Mus musculus: one gene and its partners. The protein of the gene in region 3 binds, or shares a complex with, the protein of the main gene of each other region. Links are inferred from orthologs where the notes say so. Each region holds a gene or a part of one and is shown on either strand. Other genes may lie near its edges.

Region 1 (5,450 bases), on a different chromosome or scaffold from region 3:
GTACTTCACTGGAGGTAGAGACGGAAGCAACTTACTGACAAGCCAGTCTAGCCCATCATTGAGCTCTAGGTTTAGTGACAGACTCTTGTCTCAACACAAGATGAGCTGAGAAGTGAAACACACCTTTAATCCTAGCAGTTGGAGGCAGAGGCAGGTAAATTTCTATGAGTTCAAGACCAGCTCAATCTACATAGTGAGTTCCAGGGCAGCCAAGGCCACATGGAGATCCTGTTTTGAAAACAAACAAGGAGCTGGAGAAATAGCTCAGAGGTTAAGAGCACTTGATGCTATTGCAGAAGACCAGAGCTTCGTTCCCAGCACCCACTCTCCTCTGGACTCCAGGGTACCCACATTCATGTGCATGTACTCACGTAGACAAATACACACACACACATACATACATACATACATATAAGTCTTAAAAAATAGTATGAAAACAGATTTTTTAAGATGGATTATCAATGAGGACAACACACAATGACCTCTAGTCTACAAACACATGCAGGGCCTTTTTGTTGTTGTTTGCTTTTTTTTTTTTTTTTTTTTTTTTAGATTTATTTATTATATGTAAGTACACTATAGCTGTCTTCAGACACTCCAGAAGAGGGAGTCAGATCTCATTATGGATGGTTGTGAGCCACCATGTGGTTGCTGGGATTTGAACTCTGGACCTTTGGAAGAGCAGTCAGGTGCTCTTACCCACTGAGCCATCTCTCCAGCCCTGTTGTTTGCTTTTTTGAGATGGTACTTCTCTGTATAGCTCTGGCTGTCCAGGAATTAAAAGCATGCACCACTATACCTGGATTCACATAGCATCTTTTGATATTATCAAATCACAAATCAATTCCAGCACTGGTGAGGCAGAGGAAGAAAGATCTTGAGTTCAAGACCAGCTTGAGCTACATAATAAGACTATCTTTAAAAGAGAAAAAAATATATATATATTTATGGGGCTGGAGATAACAGTTACGAGCACTGGCTGCTATTCCAGAGGACCCATGTTCCCAACACCCACAGGGCAGCTGACAGCCATCTGTAACTCTAGTTCCAGGGGATCTAACACCCTCACACAAACATACATGCAGGCAAAACACCAATGCACATAAAATAAATCCTTTTTTCTACAGCCTTGGCAACTTTGGATATTAACCTTCCTTTTTTCCTCCTATAAAGAATAAGGTTGCTGGGCAGTGGCAGTGCACGCCTTTAATCCCAGCACTTGGGAAGCAGAGGCAGGCGGATTCTGACTTTGAGGGCAGCCTGGTCTACAGACAGAGTGAGTTCCAGGACATCCAAGGCTACACAGAGAAATTCTGCCTCAAAAAAAAACAAAAAAAAACAAAAAAACAAAAAACAAAAAAGAAAGAAAGAAAGAAAGAAAGAAAGAAAGAAAGAAAGAAGGCTATAGCACTTCCTAAGGAAAAGGCCTGAACTTGAAAGAGTTATATTTTTAAGTATTCTCCTCTAAGATGGAAGTATACTGTACTATGTTGAGTATATGTCCTCTTTTTATCAACTATGGACCGTCTCGTTATCTACTATAATGTCAGTGTTCTGGATAGCTCTGGATCACAGGAGACAGCATTCTTCAGGACCACCAGCATCCCCTTACCTGGCTTCCTGCCACCATAGAAATGAGTGTACTCAGCACAAGTGATATACCTGAGGAAGACAGAGCATGTGTTACTGGGTCCTGCCACGGACAGGACAGAAGCTGTAAAAGTAACTTATGACAGAACGCCCACTCACTTGTCAAATCACATTAAACATCTGCATTGTGTGGCACATAAGAAGGACAAAAGATGGAGAGATAAAGAAACATCAACAGCACCTTGTCCAGAAGGAAATGAACTGGACTTATAGACTATCTGACAGGAAGAGCTAGGCACACAAAGCTCTGGGGAAGCCCTTTACAGGAATAACACTTACTGAGGCTGGAACAGGACAAGCTGAATCTGTTCCAGAAAGGAGACAGCAGAGGAAGAGTGTGATGAGGTACGTAGCAGCAGAAAAAGACACAGAAGCAAGGACAGCGGCCGAGTCAAAAATGAGTCAAAGATCAAGGAGAGTACTCTCTATTTGCCTAAGTGTGATGGGAAGCTGGTGGGTGATTTTGAGCAGGACCCAGACATGATCTAACATAGCTCCAGTTGCTCTGTGCGGTTGTTCTTCTGTTAGGATGAGAATTGTCTTCAGTCTATATATAGTAAATCAGGGACCCACTATGTAACCACTGAGCTAGGATAAGAAACGGCAGGCTTAGGTGTGAAAATTATCAAGTTCCCTTTTAGCATACTAGTTTTGAAAAAGCTGTAAGTTTTCCAAGTGGAGAACTGAGTGAAAGCTGCTGACTTAGTGCAAGAGACTCTTTGAACAGATCCACCACAGGGATGAAGGAAACACCCCCGAGGTCTGGGACAAGGGGAGGGGAAGCCCAGCAAAGAGGAATGAAATAGAGATCATTCGCAGATTAAATTACTAAGCGCCAAGCCTTTAATCCTAGCACTCGGGAGGCAGAGGCAAGGGGATTTCTGAGTTCGAGGCCAGCCTGATCTACAAAGTGAGTTCCAGGACAGCCAGGGCTACACAGAGAAACCCTATCTTGAAAAACAAAAACAAAAACAAAAACAAACAAAAAAAACTACTAAGCGCATGTAAGATCTCACTAAAGGCTACTTTTGGAAAGGGAAGAAGCCCAAGGACTGAAAAGCTGGATACTAGATCTGGCAATACAGAAGTCAAAGATATCCTTGCAAGCAGCTAGGGGCGGGGAGCATCTGAAGAGACAACAGAAAACAGAAAGTACAGCAGCAGCAAATGGGAGGGGAACATGGAGCACGACCCGCCTATCTTCAACTTGAAGGCTGTCGCCTGTGTGTAGGCTCTCAGACTAGAGCCAGGACGAAGCGGACAACCAACTCAGGGGCAAAACTCGTTCGCAGAAAGGCTAGGGGTAGGGAAATCCCGGAAGTTAGTTAGTCCGGCGGTAGAACGCCCTGGCCCGCGTAGGCTGCACTGAGGGACGAGACCGCGCCTGTGAGAGCTGAGGCTTTCAGATGATAGCCTTCAGCACGGCGACGAGCTGAGACGAGAGACGCGACCCAACTTACATCTTGTCCTTCTGGTGCTGTCGCTTCCCCATGGTGGCAACAAACCGAAGAGACCACAGCAGACACTGACTATGGCGCCTCCGCTTTCTCAACTACTTCCGGAGATCGACGCACTGGATCCCGGAAGTTGGAAGAAAGCATTCTGGGAATTGTGGTTTCCAGGTGTCCAGGTGCTGGGTGCAGGCACCGTGCTAGGCTGAAGCTTGCTAACTTTGAGTAGAATCCACTTTTCCTGTCTCCCACCATACTGCGTTGCCTCCCCCAAGCCCTCAAAAACTTTTCTATGCACTGTCTGGCTACTTGTTCAGTCCATGCTATGCTAGGCAGACTCACTCAGACTCACCTCCTTTGTATCTAAAGATCTTCAACCTTTTTCACCTTCTCTAAAGCCATGTCCATGTGTATACTCAACTCTTCTCTCGTTCGGTCCCCACGCCCTTCAGGCCCATCAGCTGGCAGATGACCAAGCCCTCTCTGCTCCTTCTGTGGCCAGATCTTTGGTCTGGGTCTCATGTGCCGGGAGAATGGGTCCCAAGTCTCCTTTTTTTTTTTTTTTTTTGGTATTTCGAAACAGGGTTTCTCTGTGTAGCCCTGGCTGTCCTGGAACTCACTCTGTAGACCAGGCTGGCCTCGAACTCAGAAATCCGCCTGCCTCTGCCTCCCGAGTGCTGGGACTAGAGGAGTGTGCCACCATGCCCGGCCCCAAGTTTCCTTTTTAAAATTGTGTGTGTGGTTAAATAGTGGCCATGCCACAAGTGTAGAGCTCAGAGGACAAGTGAGGAGTTGGTTCTCTTTGCCAGACTTGCACAGCTCTTATTTGTTAAGGCATCTCTCCACCCTAAGCTGGGTTTTTGTTTGTTTTTGTTTTTTGAGACAGGGTTTCTCTGTGTAGCCCTGGCTGTCCTGGTGCTCACTCTATAGATCAGGCTGGCCTGGAACTCAGAAATCCACTGCCTCTGCCTCCCAAGTGCTGGGATTAAAGGTGTGTGCCACCACCGCCTGGCTGATCAAAGAATTCTTAATTTCCTTGTTCCAAATCTCCACTTTGATGCTAAATGGTATGTTCCATACCCTAACCCTAACCTCCTGATAAGATCTTCAACCAAATAATTTTAAGATGTCTTGTCAAATTCCTACATAAACATAAAACATTAGAAACCCCCTAGCCTTGCAGTTTGGGGGATATTAAAAAAAAAAATTCTCCTTTGAGACTATGCTCTCAAATCCTACTTTAGGGAGATAACCCTGTCTAACTGAAAATGCAACCAAAAAATCTGGGTCACTGGTCTGATTCTCATTTGGCAGGATTAACAAGGACCACCATCCACCCAGTTAGCCAAAGGCAGTCATCCTGTCAGCTTCTTACTTCATAACTTCTGCCTTCCAAATAAATCTTACCTCAAAAGATCTTTTAGCCCAGTATGGTGGTGTACACTTGGGAGGCAGAAGCAAGCAGATCTCTATGAGTCTGAGGCCAGCCTGGTCTACAGTGAGTAGAGAAACCATGTCTCAAAAGCAAATCAAAACTAAACAAAACTACCAGTACTTGGGAGGCAGAGGCTGGTAAGTTCTGTAAGTTCAAGTCCTCCTAGTCTACATATTGAGTTACAGGTCAACCAAGAATATACAGTGAGACCAAAACAAAACAAAACAAAAAAACACTTTCTTGGCCACCCCACTCACCTCTCTCATAGTTTATCATAATTTATAATTATATAGTAATTTTGCTTATGTTCTGATTTTTATTATCTATAGTCCCAAGTGAGGTATGATCAACCATGACTCAATATGTATATCCACTAATGTCCAGTAATGATTGACATCTTACATGGAGAAAGATTCTAAGGCCAGCATATGAGGTGACAATGAGAATCACAGTTTTGAAACTCGGGCAAGTAACAAGCTGTAAACTGACTGACCCACTCATTTCTCCTCTGGGTAGAAACACCTATCAAACTAGGCCTGTGTTTGGAGATTACATGCAGGAACAATATAGTGCACTTGCAACTCAAGGAAAGTGAAGCCCTAAGGGGTCTGAACCACTAAAGGGAAGAACGGGATTTCCCACCCCACTCTCTCAAGCACAACAGAATTGCTTGTTACAGTGCACGTGAGGGGCCATTGCACGTGTGATCCAAACACACACTGCCCATACTTGAGGGGTGAGGTTTGAAATAGGGTTTTTCTATAGAGTCCAGGCTATCCTTAAACTCTCTCCGTAGTCCAGGCGAAAGCAGAGAGGACATACAACAAGCTCAACACCAGGATGAACTTTATTCAGTCCTGGGGCATGGTCTGTTGGGAAGAGATTACTGGCTCTCCTTGGCAGGAGTGGACTCT
Region 2 (5,623 bases), on a different chromosome or scaffold from region 3:
TCACATCATCCCATTCTACAGATGTGAGCCACCTGGACCTCCCGGACCATTTTGGTCATTTCTCCACAATTTCTGTCACCTGGAACCACAGAAGCGGGGCACAGTCCTCTGTCTGGAGGTAGCTTTTCTGAGGCAGAATCTTGTCATAAGCCCAGGCTGGCCACAGCCTTCTAAATGCACAGGACTGCACACCAGCCTGCTTCACATCCCGTCCATGTGCTTCCAGAACAGGTGACTTGGGTTGCCTGAGCCCCAGGGCTGAGGTCAAGGTGACAGCAAGGCTAGTGACACTTTGCCTTCCAGAGCCAGCATCATAAAGACCAACATAAAGCCAGGTGTGTTGTGCTACACCCGTCATCCCAGTGCCAGGGAGGCTGAGGCAGGGGGATAAGGAATTTTAGATTATTTTCAGCTACAGTCTGAGATCAGCCTGGACTACATTAGACCTGTCTTCAAAATACACAAAAATCAAATTACAGCCAAGCATGCAGTGCACACATTCAATCCCTGCACTGAGAGGCAGAGGCAGGTGAATTATCTATAAGTTCCAGGCCAACTGGGTTACACAGTGAAACAAACAAACAACTACACGAGGGGCTGGAGACATGGCTCAGCAGGTGAGAGCACAGGCTGCTCTTCTGGATGACCTGGGTTCAATTCCCAGCACCCACATGGTAGCTCACACATCTATAACTCCTGTTCCAGGGGGATCCAACACACTCACAGACACATGCATGCAGGCAAAACACATGAAATAAAAATAAATCATTTTAAAAACAGAAGAAACAAACAACAAGAGCCCCAGATCCTCAGGGCCATCATGCCCAGCATGGGGACTTTGGGTCATGAGAGGACTGGGGGAGCCTACAGTACAAGGCCCTTCCCAAGAAGAGCTGAGGGGCGGGGAGGAGTTAGTGGCAGGGAAGTGAAGCTCTAGCCCACTTCCTGCAGAGGCTTCCTGGAAGGGTAGGAGGCAGAGGATGACTTTTGTGAAAATGGCTGGTGGGTGGGTGGGTGGCCTTGGTGATCAGTGACAATGGTGTCCACCCTGATCCTCAAATAAACAGCAGAAAAGAGCCACAGTATAGCATCCTATGGCTAAGCTCCAGGTAGTTGGAGCCATGGTTATCCTTGGCTACAGTGTGAGGCTAACCTGGGCTACATGAGATCCTGTTTCAATAAAGGAATAGAATAGTCAAACTCCCAAATACAAGGCACAGCAAGGGCTCAAGGGCAAACATTGCTAAACAAGAATAGAGGCACACAAAGCTCTTCCGGAACTGCTATGGCCCAGCACAGCCTGGAGGCAGCGATGGCAAGGTCCAGCCTTACTGCTCAACTTTCGTTCCTCCTGCCAGGGCCCCAGCCACCACCCAGGGTGCCCTTCCCTAGACTCTCTGCCCAATCCTGCTGAGCATGTCCCCTCCTGTGGTCAGGACCCTAATGGCCACCCTAGGCTGCCAGCCTGTTTCCAGCTCAGCAGCTGAAGCCGCTCTCTAATTATGGGTGATTAGCATCAGTCTCCCTGGCTAGACACAAGGTCAGTGTGGGCGTGGGCTCTGCTGCAGCAGGGAGGAGCAGTAAACACTTGCTGAACACGCAGGGGTGGGGACACCCAGCACAGGTGCATCCTGTCCAGTGCCACAGGTAAGAAAAGTGTGGTGTAGGGACAGGCCACCACAACCCCCCACTCCCCTACTGTGTGTGCAGTGGGAGAGAGGAATGAAAGAAGTAATTAGGAATGTCTCCCCAAAATGAAGGAAGAAAAAGCTCAGAGTGAAATGGGCCAGGGCAGACAGGGAGGCTGGAGCTGGGATAGTCACAGGCTTTTGAGTGGAGGAGACATAGCTTTACACAGAGCAGCTGCAGGTGTTATAGCCACCCGTTCTGGAATCCAGTCCCAGCACCTCCCATTAGAGGAGCCAGTTCCAGGAAGGGAAATTCCTTCTCAGCCATCATCCAGACTCTCTGGGATCCAGTGTGTAGATGAGATAGCTAAAGAACCAAGTCTAGGGCTCTGAGTTCAGGAATGTTCAGCTGGGACACTCCTGTACCAGCCTGACCGCAGAGATATGGGAGTGTCTGTGCGCACCTGCATGAGGTGGGTGTCCAGTCCTGGACGCACCTGGCCATCCCTTCAGGAAGGCTCAGGGTACACCCAGTGGGGAGTGCTTACCTAGCATGTGTTAGGCCTAGAGTTCCTGCACCACAAAACCCAGGGTCATTCTGGAGTAAAGGCAGGGTCAGGAGTTCACAGTGATGCATGTATACAAATGGAGTTCAAAGGCAGCCTGGGCTATATGAGACCCTGCCTCACATCCTGACTCAAATGTGGAGTATACACGTGTCCTTTCCATACTCCAGTGACTGAAGCAAGAGGATCAGGAGTTTGAGGTTAGCCTGGATTATGTCAGTTCAGATCAGAAAGCCTAACCAAAAAACAAACCAAATATCCTACCATCAAGAACTGGGGAGATGGGAATATGTGGCTCTCCTCACTTAGGCCAACGCGCCCCTCGACAGAGCAGGGGGAAACCTGGCCTCCTTTACTTGTTTATGCCAGGTCTAAGAGTCCCCAAACTGAGGAGGCCTGAGCCTAAACTAGGAGAAAAAAAAAATCCTTTCTTCCTGAGCAAGACATGCTGTGTGTCCCAGGGAGAGAATCAACCCGCTCTCTGAGCTGGATTTCCAGCCAAAGGCGTGGGCAGCTGAGGTCAGACACCAGATAAGCATCAAGAGGGCAACGAAGCCCACGTGAGCCATTAAGCCCGCCCATTTCCCGGAAACGCAGCTTTCCTATCAATGACGGTGACAAGCCCCGGAAACGATCATAGTCCCTCTTCCGGTCGCAAAAACCGTGTCCATCAAGAGATAAATCCCCAACGGTGACCGTCTGGGGCCCTGGAGGGACACCGGTCACTCCGGCCTCAGTTTCCCCCATCTCTCAGCAGCCCGAAGACCCTGCGCGCGCCCCTCCGCCTCGCGGCCCTCACCATCTTCCCTGCAGCGATAACTTCCGCCGCGGCACAGACACACGCGCTCCCACCGGCGGCCCACCGCGCGCCCCAGACTGAAAAAGACTGGCAGAAACTATGACCAATCAGCGAGCAGCTCAACGGACATCTATCCAATCGGGACGGGCTAGGGCGGTACCTACGGAACAAGACGGACGGCCTCACCGTATTTCTACGGTGGGATTGAGAGGTAGCCGTAAAGTGCGACACTAGAACGACGCAAAAGGCCGCAGCACAAGTTACGCCCACTACGGGGTGTATGTTGGGAAAGGGCGCCTGCGCAGAGGTGCTCTCCTGGATCTGGTTCGGCGCCTAATTCGGCGCCACACTGTGGGCGAAGCTGGCTAATGCATGCGAGTCGCGCGGTGCCTATTTTGCGCTCCTAGCCTTTCATTCTTTGTTTTGTTTTGTTTTGTTTTCGAGACATTGCTTCTCTGTGTAGCTCTGGCTGTTCCTGGAACTCACTCTAGACCAGGCTGGCCTCGAACTCAGAAATCCGCCTGCCTCTGCCCACCAAGTGCTGGGATTAAAGGCGTGCGCCACCACTGCCCAGCTCTAGCCTTCCATTCTTGCCCTTATGGATCTCTTTGTCTTTACCAACTCAAATAGAATCTTTGAACACGAACGGCAGGTCTGGCGTTCCCTGGCGACAGGAAGTGAAAACAAATCTCTGGGATTTTCCTGTTTTGAGATGGGCTTCTGTGGCAGCTGAAGCTAGCCGATCATGAACTTGCATTAGACCCCGACTCGGCTTCTCCACTGCTGGATGGCCACTGTGGGCCATCAAGCTTTAATCCTTGCTTTAAAAAAAATCATTATCATTTTGGGAGGAACATAGTGTTTCTCTGTACATCCCTAGCTGGCCTTGAACACACAATGTAGACCAGGCTGGTATCGACCTTCCAGAGATCCTAGTGAGTGCTGGGATTGCAGGTGTGCACCACCATGGTTTAATGTGTCTTCTTGAGCTACAAATTCAGGTTCTCATGCTTGCCCAGTAGGGGTGCCAAAGAATGATATTCCGGACTCAAATAGTATGAAAACTCAAAGAGTGTCTTATTATGCAGAAGTTGAGCATGCTGGAGTCTCGAATTACCAAAATAGACACCCATGTTAACTTGGAGGTTTGATTTAAAGCACATTAGGAAATTCCGGGGCAGGTGACCTCTATGTTAATCTGTGAGGTCCATCTCTATGGACGTTCCATGGCAGGGCTGCGGGGGCTGGAAACTTACTGGGGAGGTCTGGAAACTGTTGCTTACCCATTGTCCTTGCCTCAGGCCAGGTGGTGGGGCAGCTTCTGAGGCCTGGACTTGTCTGGAATTGGCCAGTTCTTGGAAACAGATTTAGGCCACCTCTCCTTAACTGCCAGTTTGAAGCTTGTCATGAAGTCAGCCTAGCCTTCTCATCAGGAAGCATTTTTACCCATGGAGCCATCTCCTAGCCCTTCTATTTATTTTTATTTTCTTTGGCTACTGGTTATGGAATCAGAGCTCCACCCTGAGCTGTCCCAAGCAGGACAGCTGTTTGACCAAGCTGCTGAAAGGCCCTGGTACAGAATGTTAGCGATGAGTTCACTTGTTGGGATCCTCTGACCCGGGAGACTCCCTTGGCACACTCCCCAGGGCTCTTCTAAGTGATGGAGTGAGACTCCCGCACTAAGACTGCAGCTCAGCGGGAGGGATAGAAGCCCTGAGCTCCCGCCCCCACCCCCACCGCTAACAATAAAGTAAAGCAGTAAGTGCTGAGGAGCAGCGCCTGAGCAGAATGGGCACTATCTCAGCACTGTGGAGGCACTGCTGGAGAAGCACAGGTTCAAGACCATCCTCCACTTCATGGACAGTTCAACAACAGCCGGGTCTACTTTACTCTGTCACTAATAAGGAAAAGAGAAATATGTCAATGGGTCTGCTGACCTCATGTCTAAGATTAGAGAGTATCTGTCACCCCAGAATCCAGCTCTGAGATGGGGACCAAAGGGTTTGTGATGTGAGGATCTGAGATACCTAGGGAAGAAGCAGCCCATGACGGGGAACTTGGACCCCTGCAGCAAGACTGGGTGAGTTCCAGCAAAGTTGCCGTCAGCCCTCAAGGGAGGCTTGGCTAGCCCATGCTTCTGCACACAGAGTGGGGGCGGGGGCGGGAGCCTTGAAACCTGAGGTGCTACTGCTCAGTGACAAGTCACTTAAGTCACCTAGGTGAAGGGTCAAAGCTCCCTACATTAAATAAAGCCATTGCCACAGTGGAGAAACATCCCTCCGACCTGGCTTCCTGCACTCCAGCCACCATCAGAGGAGCCTTTTCTGACTGGCCAAATGGGCCTGTGTACACGATGGCCAGGGGAGAGGCCCACAGCAGCAGCAGCCTCAATAAACAGGCTGCATACCTCTATTCTGTGTGCCTACAGCTCCCAGCAAGTGATACAGCACCAGTGCTGAGCTTCCAAGTGTGGCCTGGGCGGCTGCTGCACACTGGGAAGGTGCACTTGTGTGTCTGTTCTTCCAAAAAGATAGGGACAGGTTCCAAACTCTGTGGATAAAGAACAACTGGGCACAGGGCGTGGTGGCTCACACCTTTAATCCCAGCACTTTGGAGGCAGAGGCAGGCCG
Region 3 (4,918 bases):
TGCTGTGGCTGTGGCAGAACTGAGTTGTTTTTTTGTTTTTTTAAGATTTATTTATTATCATAAGTACGCTGTAGCTGTCTTCAGATGTACCAGAAAAGGGTATCATCAGATCTCAGTATGGGTGGTTGTGAGCCACCATGTGGTTGCTGAGATTTGAACTCAGTACCTTTGGAAGAGCAGACAGTGGTCTTAACTGCTGAGCCATCTTGACAGCCCAGAACTGAGTATTTTTTAACAAGGGTTACATGGCTCACTAGCCTACAGTATTGCGTGTGTGGTACCAGATGTTCAGCCCTTGAAGAAAAGGTTGCTCACCTCTTTTTTAGAGCCTTGCTCTCTGACAGCCGCTCCTACGGGTGCTGAGTCCCTGGCCTGCCCACAGTATCCGCAGTTCTCCCAGTGCTTACTGTATCTCAGAAGCACTGCTGTTGGCGGTGTAAACTTACTGTGCGTAAAGCCCACAAGGGAAGGCTTCTTTGCTCTAACCTGGTCAGAACCGTCATGTATTTGTAAGGAGATTTGTGGTATCATCAAAGGACTCACTCACAAGTGTTAAACAGTCCACACTCAGTGTATATTTCTACTAAAAGCTGTCTTTGTTCTTTAGGATTCCTTGGCTTAAGGGTCCCTCTCTTGTCTTTACTCGGCATGTTAAGACTGTATACTTGTACAGTTTGCATCTTTCTGTTCTTTAGGATGAGATCCATCTTCTACATGATGACAGAGGTCCTGTCTTAGAAGCTTTGGTGGCCAGGGCCATCCGAAACATTGAGATGACCCAAGAAGATGTCCGACTCATTGGTCTCAGTGCTACCCTCCCCAACTATGAAGATGTGGCCACCTTTCTGCGAGTCGACCCTGCTAAGGGCCTCTTCTACTTTGATAACAGGTATAAAAAGAAACTGGAAACTTGTTACCCAGGCAGTCTTCCTGTTCCCTACTCTTCTCTAAGGAGCATACTATTGAGTTTTAGGGTTCCTGTGTGTATTTTAGAAAGCATTGTTTCTAGGTCAATGGAAAGTAACTTCTCTCACAGTGTTCTCTGCCAGAAATCTCATTTGTATAACTGTTGAACTTCTAGCTTCCGCCCCGTGCCTCTGGAACAAACATATGTGGGCATCACAGAGAAAAAAGCTATCAAACGTTTCCAGATCATGAATGAAATAGTCTATGAGAAAATCATGGAACATGCTGGAAAAAATCAGGTTTGTGGATGGTTCTTGAACCTTTTCCTTTTTTTTTTTTGGTTTTTCGAGACAGGGTTTCTCTGTGTAGCCCTGGCTGTCCTGGAACTCACTCTCTCACTCTGTAGACCAGGCTGGCCTTGAACTCAGAAATCCACCTGCCTCTGCCTCTCAAGTGCTGGGATTAAAGGTGTGCTCCACCACGCCCAGCTCCTTTTCCATTTTTAACTTAAACTAATAGACAAGGTAATAGCATGACTCACCAGTGATCAGAAATAATATGAGTTACTATATTACTACAGCTGCTTTAAAAGATGGTCAGGGTCTGGAGAGATGGCTCAGTGGTTAAGAGCACTGACTGCTCTTCCAAAGGTCCTGAGTTCAAATCCCAGCAAACCACATGGTGGCTCATAACCATCCATAATGAGATCTGATGCCCTCTTGTGGTGTGTCTGAAGACAGCTACAGTGTACTTACATATAGTAAATAAATAAATAAATAAATAAACAAACCTTAAAAAAAAGAAGAAGAAGAAAATGGTCAGGAGCTAGGAGAGTCAGCACATGCCTCTAATACCATAGCTTAGGTTGCTGAGGCAGGAGGACCTCAAGCCAGCTGGAGGCCAGTTTGGATTATACAATGGTACCCCCCTACCCCTATTCCCCTCATGGTCCCACTCCCCTCCCCCCCAAAAAAAATCCAAAAAATGACTGGGGACTTGGAATGGAACTCAGTGGTAGAACATATACATAGCATGTTGACCCCGGTTCATTGCATTTTCCATCACTGCATAAATGGGAGATGGAATACTGTCAACAATCACTCATAAACTGGCCAGTTTATGGGGTAGATAGATGGCTCAGTGGTTAAGAGCATTGTCTACTCACAAAGGACAATTGAAGCTCAGACCAGTCTATCAACTCTAGATCTGACCTCTCCTAGCCTCTGTGAACATCAGGCATATATATGTTGTATGGACATATGCGCATATAAAACATTCATTTCATAAAGTAAATAAAAATTAACAATAACTAAATAAACTTATAACTTAGAAGAATTGGATCATTTCCTGAAAACAACTATCACTATAGCCTAGATGAAAGATAATTTGAATAGTCCTGTGATCGTAAATGATAACTTCATAGTTGATACTATCCTCCCCCAAATTGGTGGAACTAGAAAAACCAGTCTGTCTATAAGATAGCAAAACTGTAGCTGAAAATTATTAGAACCTAGTGAAATCAGGCCAGTGAGATGGCTCTGCAGGTAACGGCGCTTGCCCCCAAGACTGGTGACCTGAGTTTGATCCCCAGAACATAATTGGTGATGGAGAGAGTTGATCACTACTCTGACACACAAAATAATTTTTTTAAGATTTATTTATTATATGTAAGTAAACTGTAGCTGTCTTCAGACACACCAGAAGAGGGCATCTGATCTCATTACAGATGGTTGTGAGCCACCATGTGGTTACTGGGATTTGAACTCAGGACCTCCAGAAGAGCAGTCAATGCTCTTAACCAGAAAAAGAAATGCATAGCTTCTTACTGCCTGCCTTAGTTAATACTGCTAACTAGTAGTAGTGTGCCACTACTGCCCGACATATAATTTCATTCGTTCGTTTGTTCACTTATTTATTTGTTTTCTTTCTCTTTTTTTTTGAATGTTACTTTGATAACAGTTTTTAGTTAGCAGTATTAAATAAGGTAGGCAGTAAGAAGCTATGCATTTTTTTTTTCTGATAAAAAGCACAGGAGTTTATATGACAGGGTAGGACTTCAGGACACTAGATCTCAGGAGGACTGTTTCATATAATGTGGAACTAGTTTCAAACTATTTAAATATTTTTATAAATAATGTAATAGTTTTGGTATTATTTTGAAAATACACCTTTATTTAGCTTAGACTTGCTAAGGCTCTGACCATATTCTTGATTGAGGTCTTTGAATCTCAATACACTGTGTATTTAGATTTATTGTTCAATGTAGAATTCTAGGGTTAGTTTAGTTTCTTAGCTGTGAGACTGTGCCACTATCCTTGGTACATTCCTTCCCCTGTGTGTCCTGGGCTGGGCTTAAACTCTGTGTAGCCCTACTCATAGCCTGGAATTTAGCTGTGACCTTGAGTGCAGAATTAGAGCTGGAGTTACCATGCCCAGCTTCCCTTTGGTACTGTCAGCCCTGTTAGACTTCTTTCCAAACTAGCATGTATTTTTGCCATAGACACTTTTCTAACCCATCGCTTCTGTTTCTAGTGGAGCAGCTTCTGCTTCCTGTAGCTGGTGCCCTGGTGCTCTGAGAGCAGCTGCTGAAGGTGCACCTTTTAGCTCTTGCATGATTCTTCTTAGGTGCTCGTGTTTGTCCATTCTCGAAAAGAAACTGGGAAGACAGCAAGGGCAATCCGTGACATGTGTCTGGAGAAGGACACTTTGGGTCTGTTTCTTCGCGAGGGTTCTGCCTCCACTGAAGTCCTTCGTACAGAAGCAGAGCAGTGCAAGGTAAGAAGGGACCATCTGCTTCTCTGGTGACTGGTTCCATATTGGGTAGAGTCCTTTGGGACCATATGTACTGAGTGCTTCTGTTCAGGCAGGTTAAAAGTCATTTTCTTGGGGCTAGGGAAATGACTCAGCAGATAAAGGTGCCTGTCGCCAATCCTAATGGCCTGAGTTCAATCTCTGGGACTCACATAGTAGAAGAAGAGAACTGACTTTCATACACATGCCACACACAGGCATATATACAAACCTAAGAATATAAGTGTGTTAAAAGGGACTGTGTGGTTATGGGACTTCCTTTTGGCCTTGGAGGAGTCCTAGCAGGAGGCCGGCCTCACTCTGTTTCTGTTCACAGAACTTGGAGCTGAAGGATCTTTTGCCCTATGGCTTTGCTATTCATCATGCAGGCATGACTAGAGTTGACCGAACACTTGTAGAAGATCTTTTTGCTGACAAGCATATTCAGGTGAGGAGGGGCAAACCTAGTAGAAACAGACTTGTCTGTAGCTCTGCCCTGAGAGACTTGTCTGTAGCTCTGCCCTGAGAGACTTGTCTGTAGCTCTGCCCTGAGTGTTATCTCTAACCTTTTGTTAAAAAGAGAGTCATTTATATGTATTTGTGTGTGTGTGTGTGTGTGTGTGTGTGTGTGTGTGTGTGTGTGTGTGAGACTTGAACGAGTTTATGTGCACCACATGCATGCAGATGCTCTCAGAGGCCAGAGGAGGGCACCAGATCCCTTGGAACTGAAGTTACATATTCTTGTGAGCATATGTGGGTTCTGGGACCTGAAGCCTAGTCCTCTGCAAAAGTAGTACATGTTCCAGCCACTGAGCCGGTCTCCGTCTCTAAACATTTTGAGATCTGGACCAGCTAGCCTAGCCCAGGCTGGAAGGTTGTGATAGTTATGCTCACTCTCCCCACACTTCATACACTGCATAAGAGAGGATGGATGCTTCATAGAACTCTACAGTGTAATTCACAGTGTCAGGACCACATTCTTTCCCTCTTCCAGGTTGGTAGATTTTGAATGTTTTATAACTGAGTTGATAAATACAAGTTTAAACTTCTGACCTATGTCTCTGGAACCTTGGTATGTTAATTCTCAAATATGTAAGAGACTGAAGAAATGCTTTCCTTTTTGCTCCAGTGTCACATTGAGTACTGAAATATACATCCACTCCTGCCTCCGGTTAAGCTCAGGCACCAGACAAGCGAAGGATATGGCCCTGCTATGGTGGGG

Evidence for each region.
Region 1: Snrnp200 (region 3) and Ppil2 share a complex: the UniProt entries of both Homo sapiens proteins name them as parts of the minor spliceosome. The link is inferred for Mus musculus from reciprocal best matches to the Homo sapiens genes SNRNP200 and PPIL2.
Region 2: Snrnp200 (region 3) and Lsm4 share a complex: the UniProt entries of both Homo sapiens proteins name them as parts of the U4/U6-U5 tri-snRNP complex. The link is inferred for Mus musculus from reciprocal best matches to the Homo sapiens genes SNRNP200 and LSM4.

The regions. Positions count from the first base shown.
Region 1 is NC_000082.6:17,108,033-17,113,482, forward strand, and holds the start of Ppil2 (RING-type E3 ubiquitin-protein ligase PPIL2), read right to left. Parts: upstream 3,221-5,450; 5' UTR 3,143-3,220; coding exon 3,111-3,142; intron 1,663-3,110; coding exon 1,613-1,662; intron 1-1,612. Other genes in the region: 2610318N02Rik (uncharacterized protein LOC70458), read right to left, coding at 5,420-5,450. UniProt on the Homo sapiens protein: Has a ubiquitin-protein ligase activity acting as an E3 ubiquitin protein ligase or as an ubiquitin-ubiquitin ligase promoting elongation of ubiquitin chains on substrates.
Region 2 is NC_000074.6:70,670,828-70,676,450, reverse strand, and holds the start of Lsm4 (U6 snRNA-associated Sm-like protein LSm4), read right to left. Parts: upstream 3,221-5,623; 5' UTR 2,997-3,220; coding exon 2,994-2,996; intron 1-2,993. UniProt on the Homo sapiens protein: Plays a role in pre-mRNA splicing as component of the U4/U6-U5 tri-snRNP complex that is involved in spliceosome assembly, and as component of the precatalytic spliceosome (spliceosome B complex).
Region 3 is NC_000068.7:127,221,050-127,225,967, forward strand, and holds part of Snrnp200 (U5 small nuclear ribonucleoprotein 200 kDa helicase), read left to right. Parts: intron 1-695; coding exon 696-889; intron 890-1,081; coding exon 1,082-1,205; intron 1,206-3,531; coding exon 3,532-3,681; intron 3,682-4,033; coding exon 4,034-4,144; intron 4,145-4,918. UniProt on the Homo sapiens protein: Catalyzes the ATP-dependent unwinding of U4/U6 RNA duplices, an essential step in the assembly of a catalytically active spliceosome. Plays a role in pre-mRNA splicing as a core component of precatalytic, catalytic and postcatalytic spliceosomal complexes.